3 linked regions of the Notamacropus eugenii genome follow. The protein of the gene in region 1 binds, or shares a complex with, the protein of each later gene. Links are inferred from orthologs where the notes say so. Each region holds a gene or a part of one and is shown on either strand. Other genes may lie near its edges.

Region 1 (3,748 bases):
CATTGCATTGCACATGTAGTAGTGTTGAAAGGAAAATTCTTCATCTGGGTTTTCATCCTGATTAAGGAGGCAAAACTCAGGGCAAAGAGAACTGAAAAGATTTACTTTAAGTATGTCAAGGTAGCAGGGCTGATGACTGAAGATCAGACATGGCTTCAAGGTGGGGACAACTTTTATAGGCAGCTTTAAAGTAATCCAGATAGGTCCACCCCAGCACAAGAAGTGCGGCTTTGAATCGCCTTTCTCCCCAGAATAGCAAGAACGGGTTAGTTTGCAGATAAGGGTAAATGAATGACTAGGGATAGAAAAACTGCAAACTTGGTGTCTCCCTCCCCACTACGGCTTCCCCCAACACTCTTTGATAAGCAGGGCTAAGCAACTGAAGGGGCTTAAAGTTCATTGAATGGAATTAAATTGAATTTTTCAGGACTTCTGTTTAACCCTCTTTTTATTTAAAGCTCTTTTCACAGCCTGACCAGAGCCTTACTTTCCAGGGTTATTAGCCATTGCTCCCCTTTAGCCACTCACTGTAAGGTCCAACCAAGATGGCCTACTTGTACTTATGCACAGGACTCCCCAGACCTAGGATGCACTAACCTCCTGAGTCCCTGGCAGCCTTTAAAGCACGCCTCCTACTTGAGGTCTTTCCTGATAAATCCAGTTGCTCCTGCCTCCACTCATTATTCTGTATTTTTGTGTGACACCTTAAATGTGTGCATACTGGATGGAAGCTCCCTAAGAATGCTCTTCAGGGCCGCACACTGCTGAGTCAAATACATTTTTAAAAAGATACATAGTAACTAGCTTTGTTGCTTTTCATGTATTAACTCATTTGAACCTCATAACAACCCTAGGGAGGTGAGCGATATTACCATTCTCATTTAACACAAAAGGAAACAGAGGCTGAGAGAAGGCAGTTGGCCCGACTGGGGGAGGTTTTGAACTCGAGTCCTGACGCCGACGCTAGCACCTGACCTGGGGGCTTAATGCAGTGCCCGGCACCCCGGAGGCGCTTCTGTAAATGCTTGTTGCTTGAATGAGTGGCCCAGACCAGTCTCACTGCCCACCCTCATCCATGCCTGTGATGCCCTGAACTGTCCTACAAAGCTCAGCTTGGCTGCGCGGTGGGCCGGGCCAGGCCGGCTTGGGCGGGGGTCCCTTCCATCCAGCCACACGCGCATGCGCCAATCGCCGCGCGGGGGCGGGGGAGTCCCAGCTCCCAGTTGCCTGGAGCAACGCGCGGAGAAAGAGAACCCCGAGGCAGCTGCTCCAGCGCAGAGGGTGGTGCTGGGTGCGAAGGGCGGGAACCTTCGCCTACTTGTCCTCCTGTCTCGGCTAGTCCCACCCGCCTTGGGCAGGCCCCAGCCCGCCCAGCAGGCCCCAAAATGGCCTGCCCAGAACGATGCCACCCTCGACAAGAGGAACCACTTCTCCCAGGGGTCCCAGGTATCAGGGCGGTGTCGGGAGCGCCGTGAGCCGGCCCACCCGGGCCGGGCTGGGGGGCGGGGCCGGGCTCCCCTGCCCGGGGCCTCGCACGCCTGTCTGGCGCCGACCCACCACGTGCTCTTTCCTCCTCCCAGTCAATGCCCTCTGCGCCCTGACCCCGTTCTGCCCCGTAAGCCCACAGTTCTGTCGCCACCACCACCTAGTTTTTCTTGAACCCCGGCCTCTCCGGCTCTCGCGCGCTGTGCCATCCGTCTGCGCCTGGGCAAATCACAACCTTTTTGCCCCTGAGTTCCACCTTTGTAAAAGGACAACTAAAATTCCTTTTCAACCCTAAGACGGAGCTCTCTCCTTTTGCGGATCAGCCTGTTATTGATCTGATCTCAGCCCCTGCTCTGAACCACCCACTTAGCCTGTGACATCAGGGGGCCTAATGTAGTGGAAGGAGACTTAGGCAGCGTGGTACGGTGGGGAAAAAGTCAGAGAGAGTCCTGGATTTCTGGTCTACCTTTGTACATCTGTTAGGGCCGTGGTTAAGTGGTATCACTTCTCTGGGTTCCTTTCCTCATTTGTTAAACAGGAACAAATGTTTACAGTTGAAAGCTCATCAGGTTTGGTATAAAATTAAAGTTATGTTTCATATTGGAACACATTTTCAAAGGATTTTGACAATGTGGATTTTAATTGTTTCAGTCAGCAGTCTTCCCATAAAAATGTGGCCTAGTATTAAAAAAAAATGTTTGTGAAAGCGTAGCTATTGACTTCTTATGTTTTCATTTTGGATCTCTTCAGTGTGTTCATAGCACCCTATACAGACAAGAAGGAAGACATAGCAACTGGGAACGTCTTTTCGTTTATCTTTTTTCCCCTTATAAAGGCACCATTAATGATCTTTTCCATTCTTTTGAAATCTTTCCCTGTCTCAGCTTAAAATTCTACTTCATAGTGCTTTAACAATTGTGTTGTCCGCCATTCAGACTTCTCTCTGTGCTTAGTTAGGTTCAGCCACCAGTTTTGACTTCCCCCTCTTAAATACCATTACTTGGTATTTTCAACATTGGGATGCTGTAATCTAAATGTTTTTAATGCAGAGAGATCACTGTGAAAATGCCTGTAGATCCATTTTATCTTCTCTGTTTATCATCTTTTGTCCAGTTTTATCTTCAAATGTAATTTGGCTTAGCTGGATCTCATCTAGAGGGGATGATGGTGATGATGATAACGTTATATTTTGACTTGGCACTTTACACCCATTATCTGTTTGGATTCTCAAATCCTCTGACGAATGCAGCACAAGGGGGCAGCTAAGTGGTACAGTGGATAAAACACAGGACCTGCAGTAAGGCACACTGAAAGCCAGTCGTAGACACCAGCTGTGTGACCCTGGGTGAGTCACTTAAGTCACTGAGTTTGCCTCGGTTTCCTCATCTGTAAAATGGGAATAATAAAAAGATCATCTAACTCCCACGGTGATTATGAGGATCGAATGAATTAATAATTGTCAAGTGCTTAGCACAGTGCCTGGCATGTAGTAGATACTATATACATGTTAGCTCTTATTATATGGATAGTCAAGCAAAACTAATTCCTACATTGGCCATGTCCAAAAATGTATGTCTCATTCTGCGTCTTGAGTCTATCTCTGTCAAAAGATGAGTAGCATGCCTCATTATCAGCCCTCTTGAATATTGCATTGATTAGTTATTAAGTCTTTCAGAGTTGTTTGTCTTTACAGTATTGTTATTATATAAATTGCTTTGGTTCTCCTCACTTCATTCTGCATTAGTTCATACAAGTCTTCTTAGGTTTTTCTAAATTCATCCCCTTCATCTGTTCTTATAGTACAAGAGAATTTCCATTGCATCCTGGCCCATCTCCTGTCATCCTGAGAAATAATGTCAGGTCACTGGATTCAGATGGCTCTGGAGAAGCGAGGCCGGTGACCTGCACAGCCCTCCCGCACTCAAAGCAAAGTCAAGTGCAAGTCATGTCATCATTTCTCTGATGGCATGGTCTTCTTTGGCAACAAAGGACGAACACAAGAGAATTTCATTACTTTCATATACCATCATTTGTTCAACCATTACCTACTTTATGGGTACACTCTGAGTTTCCAGTTCTTTTTCTTTATGGAAAGTGCTGCTGTAAATATCTTTATATATAATATATATTAAATATATAAATATCAAACATAATAACTTTAATTTTCTTCTTTCTTTGACCTCTTTGATACCATAGGACTAGTATCAGTGGATAACAGAGTATACACTTTAGTAACCTTGGGGGCATTATTCCAAATTACATT
Region 2 (3,748 bases), about 180 Mb from region 1:
GCTGTGTATTGGTACTAGGACTGTATTGTAGCAACATTTCTGTTAATTTTGCTCAGTTTTGTTAGTTCTGTTTGTAGTTTTGCTAATTTTGTTGTTTCATAGGCCTACTGTAGTTATTTTTGCTATTAATGCTTGGCTTGTAATACATATCTCACATATAATTTAGATCTGTAGTCACAAAACACCTGTCAAGTGAAGCTTTGCATTGTGTTCTATCTGTTGCGTATATTGTAGTGATAATGCCTTGGTACTCTGAGACCATTACATGGGACATTAGATTAATTATCATTGTTCTATTATGTACTGATGAGCATTTGATGCTGTGCCTTATATTTCCAGGTGCCAGCTACCTGCCACTCCCCCATCCCAAATCCTAGCAGTGCTTGGGTCTTTGGGGCAGGGGCAGCTAAGCAGGGGAGAATGAGCCAAGAAAGGACTGCAAGAGAGGGACAGCACTATGGTATCCACCCAGAACTGGCAGAATTTTCATCCACTGGAGGGAGGTGATTAGCAGTGATCAGAGCAGGAGATGAGCCCAAACTGAGTGATTGCTTCGTACTTGAGAAATCCAAGCTAAGGTAGAATTAACATTCTTAACACCTTAACCCTAACGGGTTCTCTCTTCCCCAAACTTCCTACTCCCCTTTCCCTCTTCCATCTTTTTAGACAGAATGAGACAAAAAATATCTCCATATTTTCATAATTCCCATTTCTTCTCCATTCTGTCACCAACTCCCCCACCCCACCATGGTAGTTTGTAAGCCTTGTTATCCTTTCATGAAAGAGTTTGTTCCCACTGCCTGTGGCCCGCATGGTGGGGGTGGCCCTGAAGAGTTTTCTAAATTTTTCATAACACAGTAAGTATTCTTCAGAACTGAAGAACTGAAGAAATTCTTGAGTTCTGACTTGGTGGTCAAGGGACCACCATCCTTGTAGAGGGGAGCAAATTTTATTACAATTATTAAAACCCTTAAATCTCCCCCAGAATAGTGGGAAGGTTTAATGGAGATCTGGAGCAAATTATTTCCCTTATGATTAAAGAGCCTAAATATTCATTTATCTTCAAAACTACCAGTGGAACCCATTATGAACAGCTGCCCCTAAAGCTAAACCTTCCTTGAATCTGAAGAAAAGGAGGGAGAATGAAAGGAGGATAAAGGACTAAACCAGGGGTGGGGAACATGTGGCCCTCTAGGTCTTCAGATGTAGCCTCGTTGACTGACTCCAAATTTCACAGAACAGGTCCTTTTATTAAGAGGATCTGTCCTGTGAAGTTTGGATTCAGTCGAAGGGCTGCACCTGAGAGGCCACAGGCTCCCCTGGACTAGAAAGCCCCCTCTAAGGCATGGAGCATTTCAATTTTCCTCTCCCATCCTGATTATCTTTCAGCAGGCCTATCTTATGCTCTACACTGACAGCTGATGTTACATCTGGAACGAACTGGACTGGCCATTGGTAGGACCACAGGAATGAGAGAGAAGGAAGTAAAAGTGGGGTTTTGAAAAAAGCATTAGATTTACAGTAGGTTGAGTTTCGGGTCTGAGTCACAGCTCTGACTCTAGATGTGTGACTGCGGGAAAGGTATTTCATCTCCTTAAAGTTTTCCTAACTGTAAAATGAGGATAATACTTGCACTACCCGCTTCACAGGTTTGTTGCAGGGAAAGGATAGCTGGAAACCCATGGCTAGGTTCGGATTGGTGTAAGTAACGAATCCCCTGACGGGGTTTGTTGAAAAAGAATTCGTCCATTAATAAAGACCTTTCGTAGAAAGTTGGCAGAGAAAGAAAAAGGAAGGACAGACAGATGGAGAGAGACAGAGAGAGAGAGAGACAGACAGACAGACAGAGAGAGGGGGGGAAGGGGAGGGAAGGAGACACTGTTCAGATTAGCATTGCACATTTCCATCAGGCTAGAACTAACGTCACACAATCACAGCCCCGAATGGCGCTAACTCCAAGACGTGAGACCACTCGCTCCGGGGCGTTCCCTGTTCGCACCGAAGCCCCTTCCTGCCCCAGGAACCAAGGGTGCAGGGTGCAGCGGGGGGGGGCCTGCGTCCCCGTCGGACGGACCCAGAGACCGAGACTTGTGGGCACTGCGTCCTAGGAAGCCCAGAACCCGACACAGAGCTCAGCAGTGGGGTGGGGGAGGGGAGCGGGTTAGAACTCGGGGTCCCGACACCAGGCCTGACTACGCTGCCCTCCGCCCCGGTCCCGGAGGGGTCCTGGGGGATCAGGCCAGGCCGCGTCCTTAGGCCCGTCCCCGAAGGCCGCTCTGGGTGTCTCACCTGCCGGGGCTCTGGCCTCCGTCTTGTTCCTGCCTCGAAGAAGTGTGCCCGGTTGCTAGGGGAGGACAACGCGACTGTCTGGTTGCTAAGGGGAAATCCGATGACGGCCTCTCCGAGGTGAAAGTTGACTGGTCACGTGCCCAAACTTTTGGGCGGGGGAAAATGCTTTTCTCACCAACCAGTCATAGAGAAAACAAATCTCCCTCCAATCGCTGCCTTCTGGGGGCGGGGCCCTCAGTGGCCCGCCTCTGCGGGAGGCGGTGGTGACGTCCTCGATTTTAATCCAATTATTAGGAGAAGCCTTTAGATAGATCACTATTTTGGCGAATCAAATTGCGGGTCCCCGACTCGGGGCCGAGACCAGAAAGAGAGCTGAAATGACCTACCTGTCCCGTGGACCAATCAGAGCCCGCGGAATAAATGAGGGCTTCTCGGAGGACGATCGACGGCCAATGGGTGGAAGGCTTCGGAGGCACGGTCCAATGAGGACTTAGATCAGCAGGAGGGGCAGGGAGACCGCAGCTCTCCGTTCGGGAAAGGGGGCAAGTGTCACTCAGGCCGGGAGAGCCGGAGGGGGTGGTTGCGACGCGGCAGTGGCGGCGGCGGGCAGCTTGGTCGGAGCCTCCGCCGCCTGCGCTGCTGTCCTCACAAGATGGAGTTTCTCCTGGGGAACCCCTTCAGTACCCCGGTGGGACAGTGCCTCGGTAAGGCCCTCCGGGCGGCTTCGGGGTGGGGGCGGAGGGCCCGGCATCTCCGGGCGGCTCGGTCCCGTCCCAGCCTTCCTTCTCCGGGCGCTCGGCGGGCCGCGGTGGCGTGGGCCTGGGGCGGACGAGGGAGTCGTGCCAGGCCCCGGCCGCGTCTTCTCGAGTGGGTGCCTGAGAAGGCCAGCTGACCGGATGCTTCCCCGGGGGGTGCCCCGTGGGAGGACCCTGCCCAGGCCGGTCCGCGCAGGACAGCGGGGGGTGCCCTGGGCACGGTCCTCCGAGCGCTGCCAACCTGAGCCATCCTTGTGGTGCCCGCTCCTCCTCACTTTCCCCCTTCCCTCTCTTCTCTCTCTCATCATAGTCCAGCGGCTCTGGGGTCAGAAGACCTGAGTTCAAGTGTTAACCCTGACCCTTAGCTGCCTGGGTGGCATTGGGCGGATCACTTGACCCACCTGGGGGTCAGTGTTCTCATCTCTAAAACGAGGGGATTCAGCCAGATTGTGCCCTGAGCCTCCTCTGCCTCCAGATCTGTGGTCCGTTCTGTCGGATCTGCTTGTCTGGCTGGGAAGGGCAGAGGCTTGAATTGCAGCCCCGATAGTTTCCATGTTAATGCCTCTGGGGACCTCAGACACTCTTGAAAGGGATACTAGAGTGATGACAGGCAAGTGTTTGCGAAGGCTGCACAGATCCTTTACCAAAAGGCTGCTTGCTCATTCGCCCAAGGCAGAGTTTTGTGTTGGGACTTGGTTAGTTTA
Region 3 (3,748 bases), on another chromosome or scaffold:
AATCAACAAAACACCAAATCAAACCCTCTAATTTCTGAGCTGTAAATGCTCATAATTGAAATTTTAGCTAGTTAGAGTTGGTTCCAGCACACTTCTGGACACAGCAGGCAGAAAAGCTGATTTGATTTCAGGTTGTATCAAGAGAAGTTTGACTTCAAGGAATAAGGAGGGGATAATCTCTTTTTCATTTGCTCCAGTCAGATCAGATGTATTGAGTTCTTAGCACCAAATTTTAAGATAGACATTCATAAGTTGTAAAGTGTTCAGGGGCAGCTAGGTGATACAGCAGATAGAATGCTGGGTCTACAGTCAGGAAGATTCATCTTCCTGAGTTCAAACCTAGGACACTTACTAGCTGTGTGAGCTTGGGCAAGTCACTTAAGCATGCTTGCCTCAGTTTCCTCATCTGTAAAACGAGCTGGAGAAGGAAATGGCAAACCACCCTGGTATTCCTGCTAAGAAAACCCCAAATGTGGTCATAGAGAGTAGGGCATGACTGAATATGAACACATGTGAACGAGAGTGTTCAGAGAACGACAACCTGGATGGTAAAAGGCTCAGAGGTTGTTCTATATAGAGACTGGGAGTATTTAGCCTAAATAAGACATTACTGGGGCAGGGGGTGGAGGTGGAATGTAATGACATGATAGCAGTTTTCAGTTATCTGAAGAGTTACTAAATTTGTTTTTGTTCATCCCTAGAGGACAGAACTAGAAGAAATGGATGCAAGCTGAAAAGAGATTTTGGTTCAAGATCAGGAAAAACTTTTCTAAAGGTCTCCTAAAATGTAATGGGCTACCTCAGGAGATCGTGGGCATCCCTTCATTAGAGGTCTTGAAGCAAAGGCTGGATGACCCCTTGTTAGGTCTGGGTAGAGAGGATTTTTGTTCAATGATGGACCCTCTGGTTTCATGACTCTGCAATTCTGACCTCAGAGCTTGTTCCAAGTTCACAGCTCAAAGGATCTTTGAGATCATCTAGTCTAATACCATTATTGTAGAGAGGATGAAATTGGAGGCCTACCAAAACTCAAATGCCTTGCCCAGGATCATATTTCATTAGTGTCCGGCCAGGGTTTGCTGACATTCAAATCAAGGCTCTTTCCATTCCAACCTCATTTGTCTCTTGTTTCCTCTCATCAAGCTCCTCATTCTTCCTCAGACATACTTCTTGATACCCCTTAATTCTAGAACCTTGCATTGGTTAATGATTTCTAATTTATCCTGTATACATATGATCTGGACATGGTTGTTTGCGTCCTGTCTCCCCTATTAAACCACAAGCTCCTTGAGAACAGGGACTCTGTTTCTAGGGATTTCATAATCCCTAGCTTGGCACATTGTTCTTGTTCAGTCATTCAGTTGTGTCAACTCTTCACGACCTCATGGATTGTACTGTTGATGAGATTTTCTTGGCAAAGATACTGGAGAAGTGTCACCGTATCCTTCTCCAGTGGATTAAAGGAAACAGAGGTGAAGTGACTTGTCCAGGGTCACATAGTTAGTAAGTATCTGAGGCCAGATTTGAACTCAAGTCTTCCTGACTCCAGGTCCAGTGATCTATACACTGAACCATCTAGCTTGGCACATAGTAAGTACTTAAAAAATATTTACTTATGGACAGACTGGGAGCAAGATCCAGTAGGTGGAGTTGGAGTTGGCATACTTGCAAAGCTCTCAAATCAAAATCAAATTCAATGGATGGTCAGAGCATATTCGTGGGGCTGGGATCCAGGAGATTCCGAGATCAGTCCCTGTTTTGCCCTTTAACTGGCCCTGTGAGCCTGGACCTCTTTGTGCCTCAGTTTCCCCATCTGTATAATGGAATTGGGCTAGATGGCCTCTGAGATCCCTTATAGCTCATACATTCCTATATGATCCTGGATTCACATCCTGGCTCTGTCTGCTTCGGTCTCAGTTTCGTCCTCAGTAATATTGGGCAGTTGGATTAGATGGCCTCGGGGGATCCTTGCCATAAGAAAGGCACCCGGTGGGGGAGGGGCTGGGCAAATGTTCCTGCCCGGAGGCAGGGGCATGGACTACGTGACCTTTAGTCGCACGAAAGTTCCACCCCTGTCCACTTCATCTTCTCCGTTACCTCGTCCTCTCCGCCACGACCCCACTTACCCGCCCGCGCAGCCGCGGGGCTTCCCTTCCCTTCAATTACTCCTTCCTCAGTTTCCAGAGTGGCCACGTTGCTAGGCTACGGGTAAACAACTCAACCAGACCAACCACATCCGGGGCGGGAATTAGCAGTCGCCACTCAACGTCCGGCATTTTCCATTTGGCCACGACCCTTTACCCCACAGGCTCCAGCCAATCGGAAGCACCGTGAGTTCGATGACTCCGAGACCCCGACTCCCGACAACCAATAGAAAGAGCCGAGACGGATGCACCTTAGGCTGCGAAGAGAGGGAGAGGAGGAGAAGGGGAGGAGACTTGCATGCTGGAGGCGGGGAAAAGAGCAAGGAACTTCCAATAAGAACCCCCACAAGGCCTCCGGAAGAACTAATGAAAAAACGAGGGGAAGCCACCCCTTGAGGCTGCAAGGGGCGGGGAAAGTAGAAGGACGTTTCTCAGAGCCAATCAAAGGATAGGCTACCCCACAAAGGGGAGCCGAACGAAACTGTAATTTTTTTAGCTTTAGGCATCCTTTCCTCCTCCAAGATGCAGAGGGCGGGAAAAAGAGAAAAGCCCAATCAGAGCACCGCAGACTGGGAAGGGGGCGGAGGCTCATTTCGTGCCCCGGAGAACGGAAGGAAAGGGAAGAGGAGGAGAGTCAAGTGGGCGGAGAAAAGGGAAGGGCGTCCCATCCGACCAATCGGAGAGCTGCGGTGTCCGCTCGTGCAGGCGATAGGCCTCCGGGAAAGGGGGCGGGGCTACGACGGGGTCGGGACCGGGCTGGGTGGGGGGAGGTGGAATAGCGGGCGGATGGAAACGGGCTCGCCGGCGGCTGCGGCGTTCCCCTTCTCCGGGGCGGCGAGTTCGGGTCGTGCCACCGGCCCGCGACTCTCGGAGCGGCGTCTCGCAGAAGGTTTGGCTCGGAACCCGATTCGCGATCGCTGCTCGCGGGGGTGTCTCCTGTAAGGACCCAGGGAGAGGTCGGGGGTCGGAGGTCGAAGGGCACAGGGAGGGGGGGCGATGCACCCGTGTAAAGGGGAGGCCAAACGGGCTGAGTCCCTTCCTCCGTCCCTTCTTCTCTTCTCGGGATCCTGGAGCTGGAGATGGAAGGGACCGTAGAGATCTAGTCCATTTTACATTTGGGGAAACTGAGGCACGGGGAGGGAGAAGTAATCTAGAGCAGGAAGGGTCCTCAGTCCATTGACCCCCATCCATCATCCAGATGGGGAAACTGAGGCCGAAGGGAAGGAAATGAAGTGGTTTCTCTAGGGTCACCCAGCTTCTAAGCAGAACGGGAAGAATTCGAACCCAGGACCTTTGGTTCCAAGCACAGCTCTCTTTCTCCTGTTGTTGCTTCCTTTCTCTTTGCTTCTCCCTTCATCCCACCCCACTTCTCCTTTTCTTTCCGGTGTTCTCTCTCTCCTCCACTTATCCAGGACACAAACACAACGCCCTTAGCATTTTTGGGGGGAGGTGGCTCCCAAATCTACCCCTTGCTCTGGAGAGAAGTCACACCCTCTCCTTGTGTCCACTTGGGAGCCTTTGGGAGGTTTAAAGTAGCCGTGATGTTTGGAATTAACTTCGAAGCTGAGTTTCCTCTCCCTGTATCTGTTCAGGGGCTCACCTGG

Evidence for each region.
Region 2: FBXL13 (region 1) and DRC3 share a complex: the UniProt entries of both Homo sapiens proteins name them as parts of the nexin-dynein regulatory complex. The link is inferred for Notamacropus eugenii from reciprocal best matches to the Homo sapiens genes FBXL13 and DRC3.
Region 3: FBXL13 (region 1) and IQCD share a complex: the UniProt entries of both Homo sapiens proteins name them as parts of the nexin-dynein regulatory complex. The link is inferred for Notamacropus eugenii from reciprocal best matches to the Homo sapiens genes FBXL13 and DRC10.

Annotation. Positions count from the first base shown.
Region 1 is NC_092874.1:152,914,432-152,918,179, forward strand, and holds the start of FBXL13 (F-box and leucine-rich repeat protein 13), read left to right. Parts: upstream 1-994; 5' UTR 995-1,179; coding exon 1,180-1,446; intron 1,447-3,748. UniProt on the Homo sapiens protein: Substrate-recognition component of the SCF (SKP1-CUL1-F-box protein)-type E3 ubiquitin ligase complex.
Region 2 is NC_092874.1:335,190,426-335,194,173, reverse strand, and holds the start of DRC3 (dynein regulatory complex subunit 3), read right to left. Parts: upstream 2,490-3,748; 5' UTR 2,290-2,489; intron 1-2,289. Other genes in the region: TOM1L2 (TOM1-like protein 2), read left to right, coding at 2,942-2,993. UniProt on the Homo sapiens protein: Component of the nexin-dynein regulatory complex (N-DRC) a key regulator of ciliary/flagellar motility which maintains the alignment and integrity of the distal axoneme and regulates microtubule sliding in motile axonemes.
Region 3 is NC_092875.1:32,967,765-32,971,512, reverse strand, and holds the start of IQCD (dynein regulatory complex protein 10), read right to left. Parts: upstream 2,790-3,748; 5' UTR 2,127-2,789; exon of another isoform or gene 800-2,126; intron 1-799. UniProt on the Homo sapiens protein: Component of the nexin-dynein regulatory complex (N-DRC), a key regulator of ciliary/flagellar motility which maintains the alignment and integrity of the distal axoneme and regulates microtubule sliding in motile axonemes.